Linked DNA regions of Rhinolophus ferrumequinum. The protein of the gene in region 2 interacts with the protein of the main gene of each other region in a biochemical or structural test. Links are inferred from orthologs where the notes say so. Each region holds a gene or a part of one and is shown on either strand. Other genes may lie near its edges.

The links.
Region 1: of the proteins of MALT1 (region 2) and RELB, one has a biochemical effect on the other in vitro, tested with the Homo sapiens proteins (2 studies listed by BioGRID). The link is inferred for Rhinolophus ferrumequinum from reciprocal best matches to the Homo sapiens genes MALT1 and RELB.

What each region holds. Positions count from the first base shown.
Region 1 is NC_046298.1:41,469,187-41,477,134, forward strand, and holds the start of RELB (transcription factor RelB), read left to right. Parts: upstream 1-4,923; coding exon 4,924-5,227; intron 5,228-6,131; coding exon 6,132-6,179; intron 6,180-7,948. Other genes in the region: putative lipid scramblase CLPTM1, read left to right, coding at 1-124.
Region 2 is NC_046302.1:47,376,197-47,383,898, reverse strand, and holds the start of MALT1 (mucosa-associated lymphoid tissue lymphoma translocation protein 1), read right to left. Parts: upstream 3,064-7,702; 5' UTR 2,843-3,063; coding exon 2,568-2,842; intron 1-2,567. UniProt on the Homo sapiens protein: Protease that enhances BCL10-induced activation: acts via formation of CBM complexes that channel adaptive and innate immune signaling downstream of CARD domain-containing proteins (CARD9, CARD11 and CARD14) to activate NF-kappa-B and MAP kinase p38 pathways which stimulate expression of genes encoding pro-inflammatory cytokines and chemokines.

The DNA.
Region 1 (7,948 bases), on a different chromosome or scaffold from region 2:
CGCTACCACCAGGGAAGAGGCCTCCATGCCCCTGCCTGCCAAGCCCACCCAAGAGGCCAGCTCTGCTACCACCGAGCCCCAGGAAGTCCCTCCAAAGCCAGCAGAGGACAAGAAAAGGGATTAACCGTTCCTGGTCCTGCTCGTCCACTCCGGCCCCTGGTGACCACAGCCCCCACTGCCCCGGGCCCCTCGCCTCCCTTCCCTGTCGCCCTTCCCCTGGACAGATCGTGCTGGGGCGGCAGGGGGCCCCCCTTGGACCAGGGCCCAGCGCGTGGTGTAGGGGCTGGGGCAGGCCAGAGCACGTGGTTTGTGGAGGCACCGTCTGTCTGTTCCTGTGTTTCTAGCCATCTTGCCCCGCCAGCCCAGCACCACTGGGAATCATGGTGAAGCCCACACAGTGCTGCCGAGGAGTGGGCCAGGCGGGGGAGGTGCCAGGGCCCCTCTGGGATGCCCATGGCCATCCATCATCTTGTCCCTCGTCCCGCGACCATCCCCCTCCTCCCAGACCGCCGCCCTTTAACACAGTCTGGATTTAATAAATGTGGGTGTTTAACTTAAACTCGACAACCCCCCCTCTAGCCTTCCTTCCTCTGTCACCTTGGAGAGCAGGTATGAGTGGTTCTCCCAGGTCTGGGAGGGAGACCTGCAGTTTGCAGGACCCAGTGAGGTGGGGACAGTCACCCTCTGTGCCATGCCCCTTTTTCACCCTTCTCCCCCTCCCAGCAGCCCTCTGAGGGGGCTTTTATAACTGTCCCCGTTTCACAGATGGGGAAGCTGCTTGCCATGACCCCGCTGCACCTATGCTCTTACCCACAAGGCTGTATCTGGCCAGCTGAGGCTTGGCGCCTCGCCTCTGCCCAGTGATTCTCTCCGGGCCTCATGCCGCCAGGCAGGGCAGGAGCGCAGACCTGCCTTGTGAGCAGACACCCCCTGCCCGATACAGGCTTTATTCAGTGGTCCTGGGACCCTGGATGCCTGACTTCCCTTCTCTGGGCTTATGGGCTCACCTCCCAGGGTCATAGCAGGGGTACAGGGGAAATCCTCGCTCAGAGTGCTGCTCAGCCGTAGCACCCGGAGCTGTTGGGGTATCACTCGCATCCCCAGGGCTGCCAGCACCGAGGACCCAGCCAAGCTCTTAGTGGGTCATGCACATGTCTTCCCGAAACCGGGTGCTGGGGCTGTTCACCCACTTTATAGGTGAGGAAACTGAGGCCTCTGGGCGTCCCTGCGTTCCAAGGGCGTTGAGCCCACATTCCCTGATTTACTTCTGGGGAAGGTGGTCTTAACATGGTGGTGAGAGGAGGCCCGTGGCTGAGGACCACAGCAGCCTCCCTCGGGTTCCACCTGTCTCCCACCGCGCCCTGCAGAGCCAGGCAGGGAATCCAGGAGGTCCCGGGAGATGGTGCCTGCACAGGCCCACGTGTGTACACACATGCACGTGCACACAATCACGTACACATGCACAGGCTCCTCCTCCGCTGAGGGAGCCACAGCCCGCTCCAGTCCCTCCCGTTCTGTACTATTCCATGGCTCCCAGTGCCCTAGGAGAAACCCAGGCTCCCAACAGGGCTGCTCTGCTGAGGCCCGGGCGTGTGGGCTCTCCGGCCACCTCCTCACTGGCCTCATCTCCCCTGGCTCCTCCCACAGCCTTTGCAAAGCCCATCAGCTGTACCCCAAAGTCACTCAGGAGTCTCACCTCTTCACTTCCACTGAGACCACCTGGTCCAGGCTCCAACTCGCCCCTGCAGGATCCCCACCCAGCCTCCTCCCTAGTGTCCTCTCCCAGTCCTGCGCCTTTCATTCACTCTCCATCCAGCAGCCAGAGAGAATTTTCTAAAGCACAAACCTGACCCTACCTGTCCCCTGCTCAGAACCTACCATGGCTCCCCTTAGGAGAAGAGCACAGGCTCCTAACTGATGAGCAAGACCTTGAGGAGAGGGGTCTTCTTGAGCTCTAGAACCTCATCTCCCTTGTTTTAACTTGCTGTGATCTCTTACCTCCTGGCTCTAGACTATGCTCTTCCCTTACCTGGGGACACAGGTAAGGCACATAACTCTACCTTACTCTCTGCATCTTTCAGGTTGCGGCTCCGATGTCTCCTGCAGGAAGCCCTCCCTGACCACGCCCTCTGAGCCTCCCCAGCTTCCCAGGCTCCACATCCCAGCCCTGCTTACTATGGGACAGGTCATTCCACACATGGGGACTGAGTCCCATGAAGACAGAGCTAGGGCTGTCTTGGTCACTGCTGTGTCCTGGGCACAGTGGAGGTGCTCCGGGAATGTTTGCTGAGTGTGTGTATATTTGCACAGACACACACACACACACACACACATCTAGAAGTGTGGACCTTGATGGGGCCCACATTGACCCTGGTGGAGAGACTGACATGCAGTCAGTCAACAAATGGTTCCGAGCCCCTCCCCTGGACGTTGCCCTAAGCTCGGGGTGGGGGGTTCTATGTATACAGCAGGGACCAAGACAGCCCCAGGCCTGCCCTCAAGGAGCTCAGAGCCCAGTAGAAATCCTGAGCGCTGAGGATTTCTGACACATCCTTTTGCTTATTCACCCAACAAACAGTTGGGAGGCCTGACGTTGGCAAAGGGCAGAGGGTAGTCAGGTGGGCTCCTGGTCCTATAATAGCCACTAATCTACACTCCTTATGAGCCAAGTTCTAGTGCAAGTGCTGTACGTGGTTTGCGTCATCCATTAAATTTAATACTGATGTTCCCATCACCTTACAGGCCATTGCTCTACCCTCATCTCCACTATTTCCCCAGCAGTCTCTCCACTTCCAGCCTGCTTGCTGTTCATTGAATATGCCATGCATGTTCCCAACTTAGGGCCTTTGTACTTGCTGTTCCCTGTGTCTTGAATAATCTTCCCTAGATATCCACATGGATCCTTCCCCTTTCAGCTCTCTGCTCAAATGTCATGCCGGACCCTCCCTCAGCTTCCTAACCCTCCAACTTCAATCCATATATCCTGCCTTATTTTCTGTAGTACTGCCACCACCCCCAGACATGTATTTGCGTATCTGTTTTCCATCTGTCTCCCCCACTTGGATTTCAGGGCCACGATGGCAGGAGCTTTTGTCTGTTAGGTCCCTTGCTGTGTCCCAACCTTTTGGAATAATGCTTGGCACCATTATACTGTGTGTAGTAATAACTCTAAATCAAATGTTCACAAGAGCAGATGAGAAAACAAACCTAAAAAAGCAAGTAGTCTGTCCAAAGTAATGTGACTCAAGTATTCAGAACACAAAGTGCTTAGAACAGTGCCCAGCACATATAAGAGCTATATACAAATGCCAAGTAGTATTAGTATCTTGCATAATCCTCACAACCACCCTATTATTAGACCCATTTTATAGATTAGGCTTAGAGTGATAAAGTCAATTGCCCGAGGTCACACAGCTGTTAAATGGGAGACCTAGGATTTGAACCCAGGCAGTCTGATTCTGGACCCTCAATCATAACCTCTTGCAATGCTCTTGTCATATGCAGACTACAGCTTGCAGGCAAAATCCAGTCTTTTCCAGCTTTTGTATAATTTTTACATTTTTAAGTGGCTAAAAGCTCAAGAACATTTCATGTGAAAATTACACAAAATTCAAATGTCAATATCTAATATTTCATAGGAACACAGCCACGCTCATTGTTTCTGTACTGTCTGGCTGTTTTTGTGCTATGGCAGAGTTGAGCACTGAGACCATCTGGTCCTCAAAGCCTAAGCATAACAACATATTTGCTATCTGGCCCTTTGCAGTTTTTAAAACATTTGCTTGGTATTTTGTTGTCTAGCAGTAGTTCTCCAACTTGAGCTTATATCCACATCACCTGAAGGGCTGGGGGGCCACACTTTCAGAACTGCTGCTGTACACTATTCTGCCTCCCAGGAGGAGGTACCAGGCCTGGCTTGGTGAGTGCTGTGCCCCAGTGCCCAGTGCAGTCTCTGGCAAAGAGCAAGTACTCAGTAAAGTGTACGTCCAATGAATCAATGAGTCTGTGTGGGCCATGGAGAGAAGAGGAATGCTCAAATTTTACACATGAGCAGACATAGCACTCTGTGATGTGAGGGTGCCTCACATCCAAGTTGGAACCTAATGATCACTCATTCTCAAGGGTGGAAGGCTTTAGAAATATGATCTAACCAAATGGCTGCCCCTTCTTGAGCTTCGGTCTCCTCTCTGAAAGACTCCTAATTCTATCACGTGCTTCTGATGTTACCGCAAGGTCTGAAGCATCTGTGAGGCTCCCAGGTAAACTCTTTGCCCAGGGGTCAGGCACACAGCTCAGTACGTACTTTGGGGCTACACTGTTACCATTCCCAGACTCAGTTGCTGAGCCTTGGATCTTCAAATGCTCTGGGCTATTAGAAAACTTGAAGGGGGGGCTGTTGGGGAGGAATAACACATCCATCCATTCATTCAGTAAACATTTACTGGGAACCTACTCTGCAGGCGCTGTGCCAGGAGCAGGGGATACAGCAAGGAACAAAACAGACATATCCCAGAGCTAACAGTCTAGCTTTAAACGTTTAAGTATCTTCACTCCCAATTTTCAGTTGAAAACGAGGCGTAGAGAAACCATGGAGGCTTCGTAAAGATCATTATTATCAATGACAGTTGTAGAGACCTGGCAACCTCTGATCCAAAGCTTCCCTTCCAACCAGAGAAACAACAGGTTCAAGTTCCGCTGGCAGACTTGGGGGGCGGGCCTCAGTTTCCCCGACTTGATCCATGGGTGGGCGTCAGTGGCCCTAAGCAAGCCTTAGTTGTCTCCGCCAGAGCTCTATGGCCAGCAGCGCAGGCCCCTCCCGAGAGCCCAGCCTCCTCTTCCCGGCCGGCCCCGCCCCCGCAATCACGTGACGCGTGGGGGTTTTCCCGTTCCCCCTTGCGTGACGTCACGACAGGGTGCAAGCCAATGAGCCCGCAGGCCCGCGGCGCCGGGGAATTCCGCCGCCCCGCCCCCGCCCGCCGCTCGCCCGGCCCGGCCCGCGGCCCCCCGCAGCCCCGGGCGCCGCGCGTCCTGCCCGGCTTGCGGCCCCAGCCCCTGCGCCGGTCGCCCGACCCGCGATCGTCCGCCGGACTGTGCCGCCTGGCCACCGGCCTGCCCTCGTGTGTGTTTTGGTCTGGGCCGGCCTCTGGGCCGTCCGTCCCCACTGGTCGAGCCATGCCGAGTCGCCGCGCCGCCAGACCGTCCACTGCGCCGGAGCTGGGGGCCTTGGGTAAGCGGGGCCAGGCTGGAGTTCAGGAGAGGAGTCTGTGGCGGGACTGGAGATGCGAGGGTTCTGGGGGACCCGGACTAATCTGGGGGTTCCTACAGGAGTCTAGGGGTTTTGCGGGGAGAGTGTGAGGGTTTGGGGGACACTGTATTAGAGGGAAGGAAGGAGGCAGAGGATGGTGACGGGGTCCGGTGCAAGGTAAGAGAGAGGCGTCCCACTACAGAGTGAGGAGGGGGCGGGGCCTGACCCTGAGGCAAAGAAGGGGGCGGGGCCCGACTCCGGGAGGGGTGGGGCTGGGAGCTGCTCCTGAGGGGTAGGGACCCGGCCAGACTCTGAGAGGGCGAAAAAGGAGGGGCTTGGCTCACATGAGGGGCGGGGCCTGACTCCAAGAAGGAAGCAGTTTCCTACTCAGAGTAAGGGGCAGGGCCTGGGCGAAAGTAGGGGGCGAGGGCAGACTCCTAAAGAGAGAAGGGGCGGGGCCTGACTCTGGTGGAGAGAAGAGGGAGGGCCTGTTCTGGAAGAAGGGCGGGGTCTGGCTCAGAGAAGAAAGAGGGGGTGGGGTTTGCCTCGGAGAGTAGTGGTCTGAGAGGAGAAAGGGACAGGCTTGACACTGAAAAAGTGAAGGGGTAGGGTCTGACCCCAAAAGAATGAAGGGGACGGTGGCTTTCCTAACAAGTTGAGAAGGGCTTCTCCGGACCCGACCTTTAGGTAAAGAAGGAGCGGGGCCTGAGTGTGATGAAGGGTGGGGTGAGTGACAAAAACAAGGGGACCAGTCCACGAGTTAGGGAAGGAGGCAAGGACAGACTCTTTGGGCGACAAAGGGTCAGTGCCAGGAGAGGAAGGGGGTAGGGTTGAGAGATTCTGTGGGATCCTCATCATCTCCTGAGACTTGCCTCCCTCCCTGCAGGGTCCGCGGACCTGTCTTCGCTCTCGCTGGCCGTTTCCAGGACCACAGGTGAGCAGCCCTCCACAGTTCCTGCCCACCTGCACACTCAGGACGGGGAAGGGGGGACTCCATTGGACAGGCCTCTGTCTGGGGGTTTCACCGAGATCCACCTGAGCTTCCTTGACGGTGTCCCTCCCTGCTGGTTGAGATGGGGGTTCCAGATGCCCCTACCTCCCAGGTAATTAGGCGCTGGATAAAACTAAGCACCTATTCACATTCTAAGGGGAGTCCTCTATAGAGATTCACCGTGGTAGTAAAAATCTCCATCTCCGGCTTTGGGGCTGGGATTTACATTCTGGTGCCACCCCTTCCCCCTCACTGTGTGAATGCCTACAAGTCATTTCCCCTCTCTGGGCTTCAGTGTTCCTCATCTGTAAGATGGGCATAATATCAGTACCTCCCTTTTAGGGGATCCAGAGGATTCAGTGAGCTGATACAGGTAAATTTTCAAAGCAGTGTCTGGCACACAGCAAAGGCTCAATAAATGTTAACTGTTAGCGGTATAATAATAATATAATACAATAATAATAACTAGTATTATTAGGCAGTCTGTAACAGTGGTTCTTAAACCTTTGTGTGCATCAGAGTCACCTCGAGAGCGTGTTAAAACAGATTGCTGGGCCCCATCTCCAGAGTTTCTGATTCAGTAGGTCTACGATGGGTTCTGAGAGTTTGCATTTCTAACAAGTTCCCAAGAAATGCTGAGAACCACTAGTTATACAGTCCCTCAGCCTGTGCCATCCAAAATTCAGTGCTGCCCAAAGACATGCAGAATCATGGCCAAATGACAACATCCTCTCTCTTATAAATGTGCTGAGATTTGGAGGGTAGGGGTGAGTCCACATGAAAACTCAGTGGCCCCAGAAGGCTGCGTCTGAGCTTCTCTCTGGAGGTAGAATCTTGGGATGGCCCCTAGAAGTGCTGGCCTGGCTGTGGAGGAGACTCTGTGGGTTCTCTCACAGGTCTGTGAGTTGGGGGGTGTTGAAAGGTGGGAGGTGGTATTTGGGACGGGTACTTCTCAAGCGCTGGTTCTGGGCAGGAACAAGGCTGAGACTTTTCTGGCCTGAGACCTAGATCTTTGGTTTCAATTGAGGTTAATTTCTGATGTCACCCATTCAATAAATATTTATTGAGTATCTGTTCTGTACCTGGCCTGGTGCTGGGCAGTGCTGGGGACTCATCAGTGACTAAGACAGCCTTGACTCTGCCCTCATGGGGTTCCTTACCTAGATGTGGAGGCAGACATGTAAACAATAAACTAAATAATTAAATTATAAAATGTGATAAAGGTTATAAAGAAATCTTGGGGTCAGTGACATCGCTTAGCAGGGTGGGGATGGGAGGCCTGCTTAAATAGAGTGGGAGGGAAAATTTCTCTCATTTTGATGGGCCAGATACATACTGGGCCCTGGGTATACAGTGGGGATGAGGCAGACATTTCCCCACTCTGTGGGACTTACTATAGGAGACAGATATGAATCACTGTAACGTAAAGTAATGTAAAATCCCAATCATCCCATATAAATGATAAAACAAAGACACCTAACTGTAAGTGACTGGAGTGGGGATTCTGGGGGCTACCTGGGGGTACAGTGGTCAGGGAAGACCTATCTAGGAGGTGACATTTGGGCAGGGAACTGAAAGAAGAGGAGGAGGCCATGCAAAGAACTGGAAGAAGAGCATTCTGGCAGAGACCAACCTGTACAAAGGCCCTGAGGCAGGAAAGACATAGCTGGCTTTCTGCTTTCACATCTCCTCAAGCGTGGCCTACCCTGGCT
Region 2 (7,702 bases):
CCTTCTACTAACATAGACACTCTTCTGCTATTAGCATGAAATTACGTTAAAATAACTTTTTGTCTTAAACAGAATAAGCATCACCAGCTTTCCTTGCCCCCTCCTTTGTCCCTCTCTAGCCCCCAAGTTCCCAGTGCTAACCTTTTGTTATGTCAGTTTAATCCCGATTTCAACAGGTATATGAGCTTCACGTCCCCCAATTCTTCAACCTTCAGGGTGCCCCGGCTCTTCTCACCACAACTAACCTACTATGAACTATAACCCTCAGCATCCTAGCAGACTGGTGAAACTCCACCTCTCTTATCAGACTTCCCACGCTGGAATTCCCAGATTCCACAAATGCACGCCTTCTGTTGCTTGTCACTTCTTGGTAGGCAACTGCCCTTCTGTCTATACTAGCTTCACTAGAAATGTGAGTTCAGAATTTTCTGTTAGTTCCCCCAAAGAAAGCTAACACAGTTCTACAGCCTTTAACAAAACCTCACTGAAGGCTTGGGGTATCCACTACTCTTAGATTCCATCAGCCATGCTTCTTCAGTGGCAGGGCCTTACTTTCTTCTCTCATCACAAATAGGAGCCCTTGCTACCAGGCCCTTCCCTGTTTAGGAAAGGCCAGAGCCTTCAGTAACTACAGAACTAGTTAATAGCACCAGTTAACTAATCACAGATCTGGTGGTCTGACCCCCAAAGAAAACAACTTTTCACATTATTGTAAGTCTAGAAATTCAGAAATCTATGGACCTAGAATAATAGTATTTTGGATTCTCTTTCCGTAGCCAAAAGGACAATTTCCTAGAACAGAAAAAAATTATACCATTTGTCTGCTCATCTTTGCCAGTTTACAACTTCTTGATCCCATCCTCTATTGTTACTCCTCTGTGTGGCCAAATACTCCCAGATTCTGGTTTAACCCCAAACTCTGAAACTGAAGGTTGTTGTGAGGGTTCAAGTAGATAATCCATGCAAACAGTACACTGGTCTATTCTAAGTGCTTAATAAATGATAAACATTTGTTACTATCATTCACACCCAACATAGCACTTAACATGTTATTTGTGACTGTTCCAGAATGACAGTTCATTACGAGTTAGCCTTTATGAATAAGAACTAAATATCTGTCTTCTTTTTATCTTCTGGAACTTCTAGCAAATAATAGGCACTCAATAACTATAACTTTGAGTGAATGTCTCCCCTCTCAATTCAAAAGTATTTATAGAGTGTGTAATATAACTTCTATGCATGATACACTCTTAAGCTATGGTTCCTGTTCGCAACAGGTTTATAAAGAAGTATATGAATAATTACAGTACAAGACAAAGCTTAGTCACATGAGAAGTTAAAAGAACTGCTAAAGGGTTCAAAGGCAGACCAAAATCATGCCAATGATATAGAGTAATGGTTCAAGTGTGATCTGGGAAACCCTCATGCAGGTCCTGAGACCCTTTCACAGGACCCAGAAGGTCAAAATGATTTTTCATACTAAGATGTCATTTATCTTTCTCATTCACTCTGCCAGGAGTGTACATTGGAGTGTCTGGCATTACATAATCTGTGAGAGTGCAACACACTGAATGCAGAGGCACATAAACGCAGCCAGCCCTCCGTAGTTAGGCCAAGACATTAAAGAGATTTTCAAAATGTGAAACAGTGCGTTTTCTAAACTATTTGTTTTGGAAAAGTTTGTTTTTCCACATGTAGTTTCTGTTAACATGTAATGGGTTATTCTTTTTCAAGAAGTTAATATTTTAGAAATTTCTTAGTTTTAATTTCTAACATGGGAAATATCAGTATATATTATATGTATGGAATACATAGAACCCACATTAAAAACGCTCTGGGGTTTTCATAATTAAGAGTTTAAAGGAGTCCAGGGACCAAAAGTTCAAGAACCACTAGCACAGCGGTTCCAAGGCTGGTAGCAGGAAAATAGTTTTACTTATACATGTTCATAGCGAAGTCGTGAAAAGGACTTGGTAAGTAGGTTTGATGGAGGAAGATGGAGAGTTCAGTTTGTTTTTTCCACCATCCCCCTCTCCCTACATAAAAACCATCATGAACTCCTGCACCCCAAACTCTTCCATTACCTCTTTACCTGCATGCACTTCTCGCTAACCTTCCTCAGGCCTTCCAGGTCTGTGCCCGTGTCCCGCTAGTTTGCATTTGAAGTCCTTCCGAGTCACTGCCTGTCACAACGCTCTCCTGACAGCCTTCCTCCTCTCAATATACTCCTAGGTCAACCTCGACTTTTCTCTGTCAGCTCCCGGGGGGGAGCGTCGGAAAAGGGTGTGAACACCGGGGTTCAATATCCAAGCTCCAATATTCCCAGGGCTTTGCTGGGGGAAGGCTCTCTCTTTCTGGAAGATGACTGGAGTTGTCCCCACGTCCTTTCCTCCTTCCACATCAGCGGCCCTTGCACCGTCTCGCATGGCCCCGATGCTCTCCAGCATCAGGGTCCACCCTCCCACCAGGGTGCCCCCCCACACTGCCCTCGCGCCCCGAGCCCAAGTCCACCCCACGTGACCCCACCCCTGAGCACCGCCCCCCCCCCCACCCCCCCGGCGCCTCACCTCAGCCGGAGGCGCCCCCGACTCCCGGCCAACTCCGCCAGCCTCCTCCAACCGCGGCCCTCGGGCGCTCGGTCCAAGACCCCGCTGAGCCTCCGCAGCAGCGGCTCCGGAAGGCGGTTGAGGGTCGCGCTGGCCGGAGCTGGGAGCGGCGGCCCCGAGGGTGCGGCCGGAGGCGGCTGCGAGGCCAGGGGCGCCAGGGCCTGCAGCAGATCCACGCACCGCGACATGTCCCGCGCCGGCGACCCCGCCACTGCCGCTGCTCCCGCGGGCCACATCGCGGGTCTCGGCTCCAGCGCACCTTCCGCTCGCCCCCTCGCTCGCCTGGGCACCGCGGCGGCGGGGGCGGAAGGACTAATTCGGCGGCGCTGCACCGCACTCGGATGAGGAAGCTCCGCTCCCCGCCCCGCGGGAGACAGGTTTGCAAAGAGGAGCCGGGCAGACCGGCCGCGCCAGCCGCCCCAGCCGCCCCGAGGAGGCGGGGCCTGGAGGCGGGGGCGGGGCCGCCCACTGCGCGCGTGCGCACAAGCCGCGCGCCTCCCTGGCCCTCTCTGCCGGCTCCGCGCTCCGTGAGGCGCGCGCTTCAAACCTGGGGAGGTGGAGTCCTGGCGGAGCAGGAAGGGTTGGGTGGTTGCCGCTGTAGGAGGAAGCCGCGGAGGAACTACGCCGAGGCGGCTCCACTACGGCGAGGAAGCCTGTGGCGTCGGGGCTTCCCGAGACCGTGGGAGGAGGATTGCCTCACGCCAAACACGGGAGCACGCAGCTCTCCAGTTCCTGGCCGCTTGCTCCCGGGGCGCGCTCCGCTGACTCAGTGTGCAGGGCGACGCCACCAGCGCCCGCATTGGGCAACCTCAGCGGAGGCTTCCTGGTTTCAGGGATTGGTGTGTGTGCGTTGTGAAGAGAAGTGATGCCAGGCATCCGGATACTTAATGGAAGTTGCCCGAAATTTATGCCTTTTTTTTTTTTTTTTGTTAGCTAGGCTGTGGCCTATTTAAAACGAATGAGATGTTGGAAGTGATTGTTTTTAGCAGGAATCGCCTGGTTTCCTCCAAGTCAGACTGCCACCCACAATCTTCATAAATCAAAGCAGGCAACCTTAGAGAGAATATCCTCCCCTGGAAGGGTCCAGAATAGATGAGATAAATGCAGACGTCACCTAAGCTCGTTTTCCCAAGCTTAGCAATATTCAAGGTCGTTGTCCCATTGAAAACTATAGGGTCGTTTGGGACAAAAGCAAGCAATTTAACAAAGTGTGACCAGCCAGGTATTACCCAGACACAAGGCTTCCTGGCCCAATTTCTCGTGCATCAGCTTTTTCATCCCACAGGACAGCAGGATTTTTGGTAGCAATAATTTGGACACCCAAATTTTCTACTTTTGGGGAGGTAGATGCCCCATACAGTCTCCACCACATTCTAGTACAAGCCATTGGTGTACAGTGTAAATTCGGAGTTCAGAATGCAGTATAATGGCGAACTGCAGAACCTTTGGGTCCAGAAAAAGCTGCTCGATTCTAGTTTTATGACCTTGAATAAGTGACTTAATTCTCTGTCTCATCTGTTAAAATGGGACTGAAAATATAGTATATATAGAGTGGTTACCAGATTTAAAGGAGTTGATGTATATTAAGCACGTATTCTGCTTGGCTCATACATAGTGAATAATAACCGATAGCTATTATCCTTGCAAATGCAAAAGCTTCTTTCATACTGTTTGCCTTGGTAAATTTTTCCCAGTCACTTCCAGTGCCTTTCTGTTTTGTCCTCAATCATTGAACAAATATTTTGAGTCTATTAACTACATGGACCAATTATGGAAATCAAGTCTTCCAGTCTTTATTGGTCTAGTTTATGAGTCTAGTTTCTAGTCTTTTAAAATTGAGATTCAACAGACTTCCTTTTTCTAAGTCTACCATATGCAAGGTGTTGCTGATATAGCTTCTCGTATGTGCCTACGGGTTAAAGTGGGTACCTATGTACCCTGTGAGTATCCTTCCCAATTTGATCAGGGGCGTCCCACCTCCTCCCTTGCTTCTCCTATCGACTCCAAGACACCTAAGACAAGCGCCTTTCTTATCTCATTCTAGGCCAGATCCTTTTTTCCACCTAGCAATTTTATAACCTATGCATTCACCGCACTCCAGCCTCTACCTTCGGCTGACATTACCTTTTATGACTAGTCTTTTTCCCCTCCCAACCAAATGTTAATATTTTTATTATGCAATTTCACTTCTGTGGTTCTCTATGGGGCATAATAGTATGGTAGCAAGAATGTGATCTTTAGAATTTGCCCAGAATTTGAATATTGATGCAGCCACTTATTAGTGGTATGACTTTAAGTAAGTTATTTAACCTCTCAGCTTCAATTTCCACATCTGTAAAAAGCGGAAGATATAATAGTACCTGCTTCAAAGGATTGTTGTGAGACTTAAATTACACACACATATATAATAAACAGCAATATAGCTTCCTTTTCTATATATCAACCATTTATATAAAGATGGGAGAAAAACAGAGTGGAGAGCTGGCTTTTAAATGCCCCTTAAAAGTTCATGCATGTCAAGGGGATAGCCGGTTAGCTCAGGTGGTTAGAGTGTGGTGCTGATAACACCAAGGTTGCCGCTTCAATCCCTGCATGGGCCACTGTGAGCTGCGCCCTCCTTAAAAAAAAAAAAATGTTCATGCATGTCTATAGATAATATACTTGGGAGTTCTTCCTCATTATTTAAAAGTGACATAGATCTTTGTGAATCCAGACAATTGGCAGGAAGCTGTGGTTTCATTCTATGGAAATCCATTGATGTAATCTTCAAAACACAAGCCTTGAAACTGACTCATAGATTTTTTTCCCTTCACCCAATCTCTCTATAGATAGTACTCTAACTAAAAATGCCAGAGTGACATATTATTTTATATCTGGATAGGTTTTTTTTTTTTTTTTTTAAGATTTTATTGGAGAAGGGGAGCAGGACTTTATTGGGGAACAGTGTGTACTTCCAGGACTTTTTTCAATCAAGCTGTTGTCCTTTCAATCTTAGTTGTGGAGGGTGCAGCTCAGCTCCAGGTCCAGTTGCCGTTGCTAGTTGCAAGGGGCGCCCACCATCCCTTGAGGGACTTGAGGAATCGAACTGGCAACCTTGTGGTTGAGAGCCCCACGCTCCAACCAACTAAGCCATCCAGGAGGCAGTTCAGCTTAAGGTGCCATGTTAATCTTAGTTGCAGGGGGCAGAGCCCACCATCCCTTGTGGGACTCGAGGAATTGAACCGGCAACCTTGTGGTTGAGAGCCTAAGGGCCCATATGGGAATAGAACCAGCAGCCTTCGGAGTTAAGAGCACGGAGCTCCAACCGTCTGAGCCACCAGGCCGGCCCCTGGATAGGTTTTCAATGGCCCAGTGCAGGAGAAAACCTGCAGGTCTTGGGCTCTGTCTACAGCAGAGGGAAAGGAAACAGGAGTCTTGATTTAAATGGCGTTGCTTATTTCCTACCATGATTCCACACCAGCAGCCTTCATGGCCTCTGACACAGCCTGTGTGTGGAGGCGTCTCCGTCCTCTCTCAGACACAGGATCTCCACATCCCTTACAGCCCCTTCTTGCTGGCATCTCCCAAAGGATTAGGGGGACTTTCCCATTTTGATTTCATCTTTGGAATAGTACCTAAGCATCACACTAGTATTTCACATCCTTCCTTCACAATGAATCATCCGTGGCAAGAACTTATGTACTTGTTTAAATCCATTAATCAATTAATTAATTAATTCAATCATCAACAAATATTTATTGCATGTCTACCTTGTGCCAAGTTCTATGCCAAATACTGTTAAAGGATGGTTTTAAATTTTTTGTTTTTGTTAAGGCTCCTTTTTTTTTTTTTTTTTTTAAGAGCAGTTTTAGGTTCACAGCAAAATTAGGGGAAGGTACAGAGATTTTCCATATACCTTCTGCCCTCATAGCCTCTTCTTTTAGCGTCCCCCACCAGATGGTATATTTGTTACAATGAATGAACCTACATTGATACATCTTAATCACCCAAAGGCCATAGTTAATCACCCAAAGGCCACAGTTTACATAGTTCCCTTGTGGTGGTGTGCTTTCTATGGGTTTAGACAAATATATATTGAATGGCAATGTATCCGCATTATGGTATCATACATAGTATCTTTACTGCCCTAAAAATTCTCTGTGCCCCTTCTATTCATCCTTCCACCCTCCCAACCCTTTGCAACCAATGGTGTTTTTACTGTCTCCATATTTTTGTCTTTTTCACAATGTCATACAGTTGGAATCATACAGCCTTTTCTGATTGGCTTCTTTCACTTAGTAGTAAACATTTAAGGTTATTCCATGTCTTTTCATGACTTGATAGCTCATTTCTTTTTAGCATGGAATAATATCCCATTGTCTGGATGTACCACAGTTTATTTATCCATCATCTATTGACGGACATCTTGGTTGCTTATGAATTTTGACAACTGTGAGTAAAGGTGCTATAAACATCCATGTGCAGGTTTTTGTGTGGGCATGTTTTCAACTCCTTTGGGTAAATACCAAGGAGCAAAATTGCTGGATTGCATGGTAAGAGTATATTTAGTTTTATAAGAAACTGCCAAACTGTTTCCCAAAGTGGCTGTACCCTTTTGCATTCCCACCAACAATGAGAATTTCTGTTGCTCCACAACTAGGCCAGCATTTGGTGTTGATGGTGTTATGGATTTTGGATAGGATAGTTTTTGTTTTTTTTTAAAGAAAGTTAAAATCATGGCTCTCAACAAATGTACAATGAACACGTGTCAAAGATTTTATTTAACACATTAGTGAACAAGGGAACCAGAAAGATGTTACAACCACTTCAAAGGAGAATCCAAAGATCAAGATAAATATGTAAGCCCAGGAGGATGCTGAAATGAATTAGCTTAATAACTGCAAAACTGACTTCTTCCACAGTGGAGGAAGGGAGGCAGTTGATCCTCCACCTGAAATAATTTATTTACTTATAATTATGAATGGTTTGCATTGCCATCAGTTTTCTGCAACTTCTATCAGAGTTGCAAATAGCTAAATCAAAGACAATGAAAGTCATAGATTAACCCAGATAGATGAGCTAGTTAAGATACCTTTTACTTTTTAGTCATTGTCAAT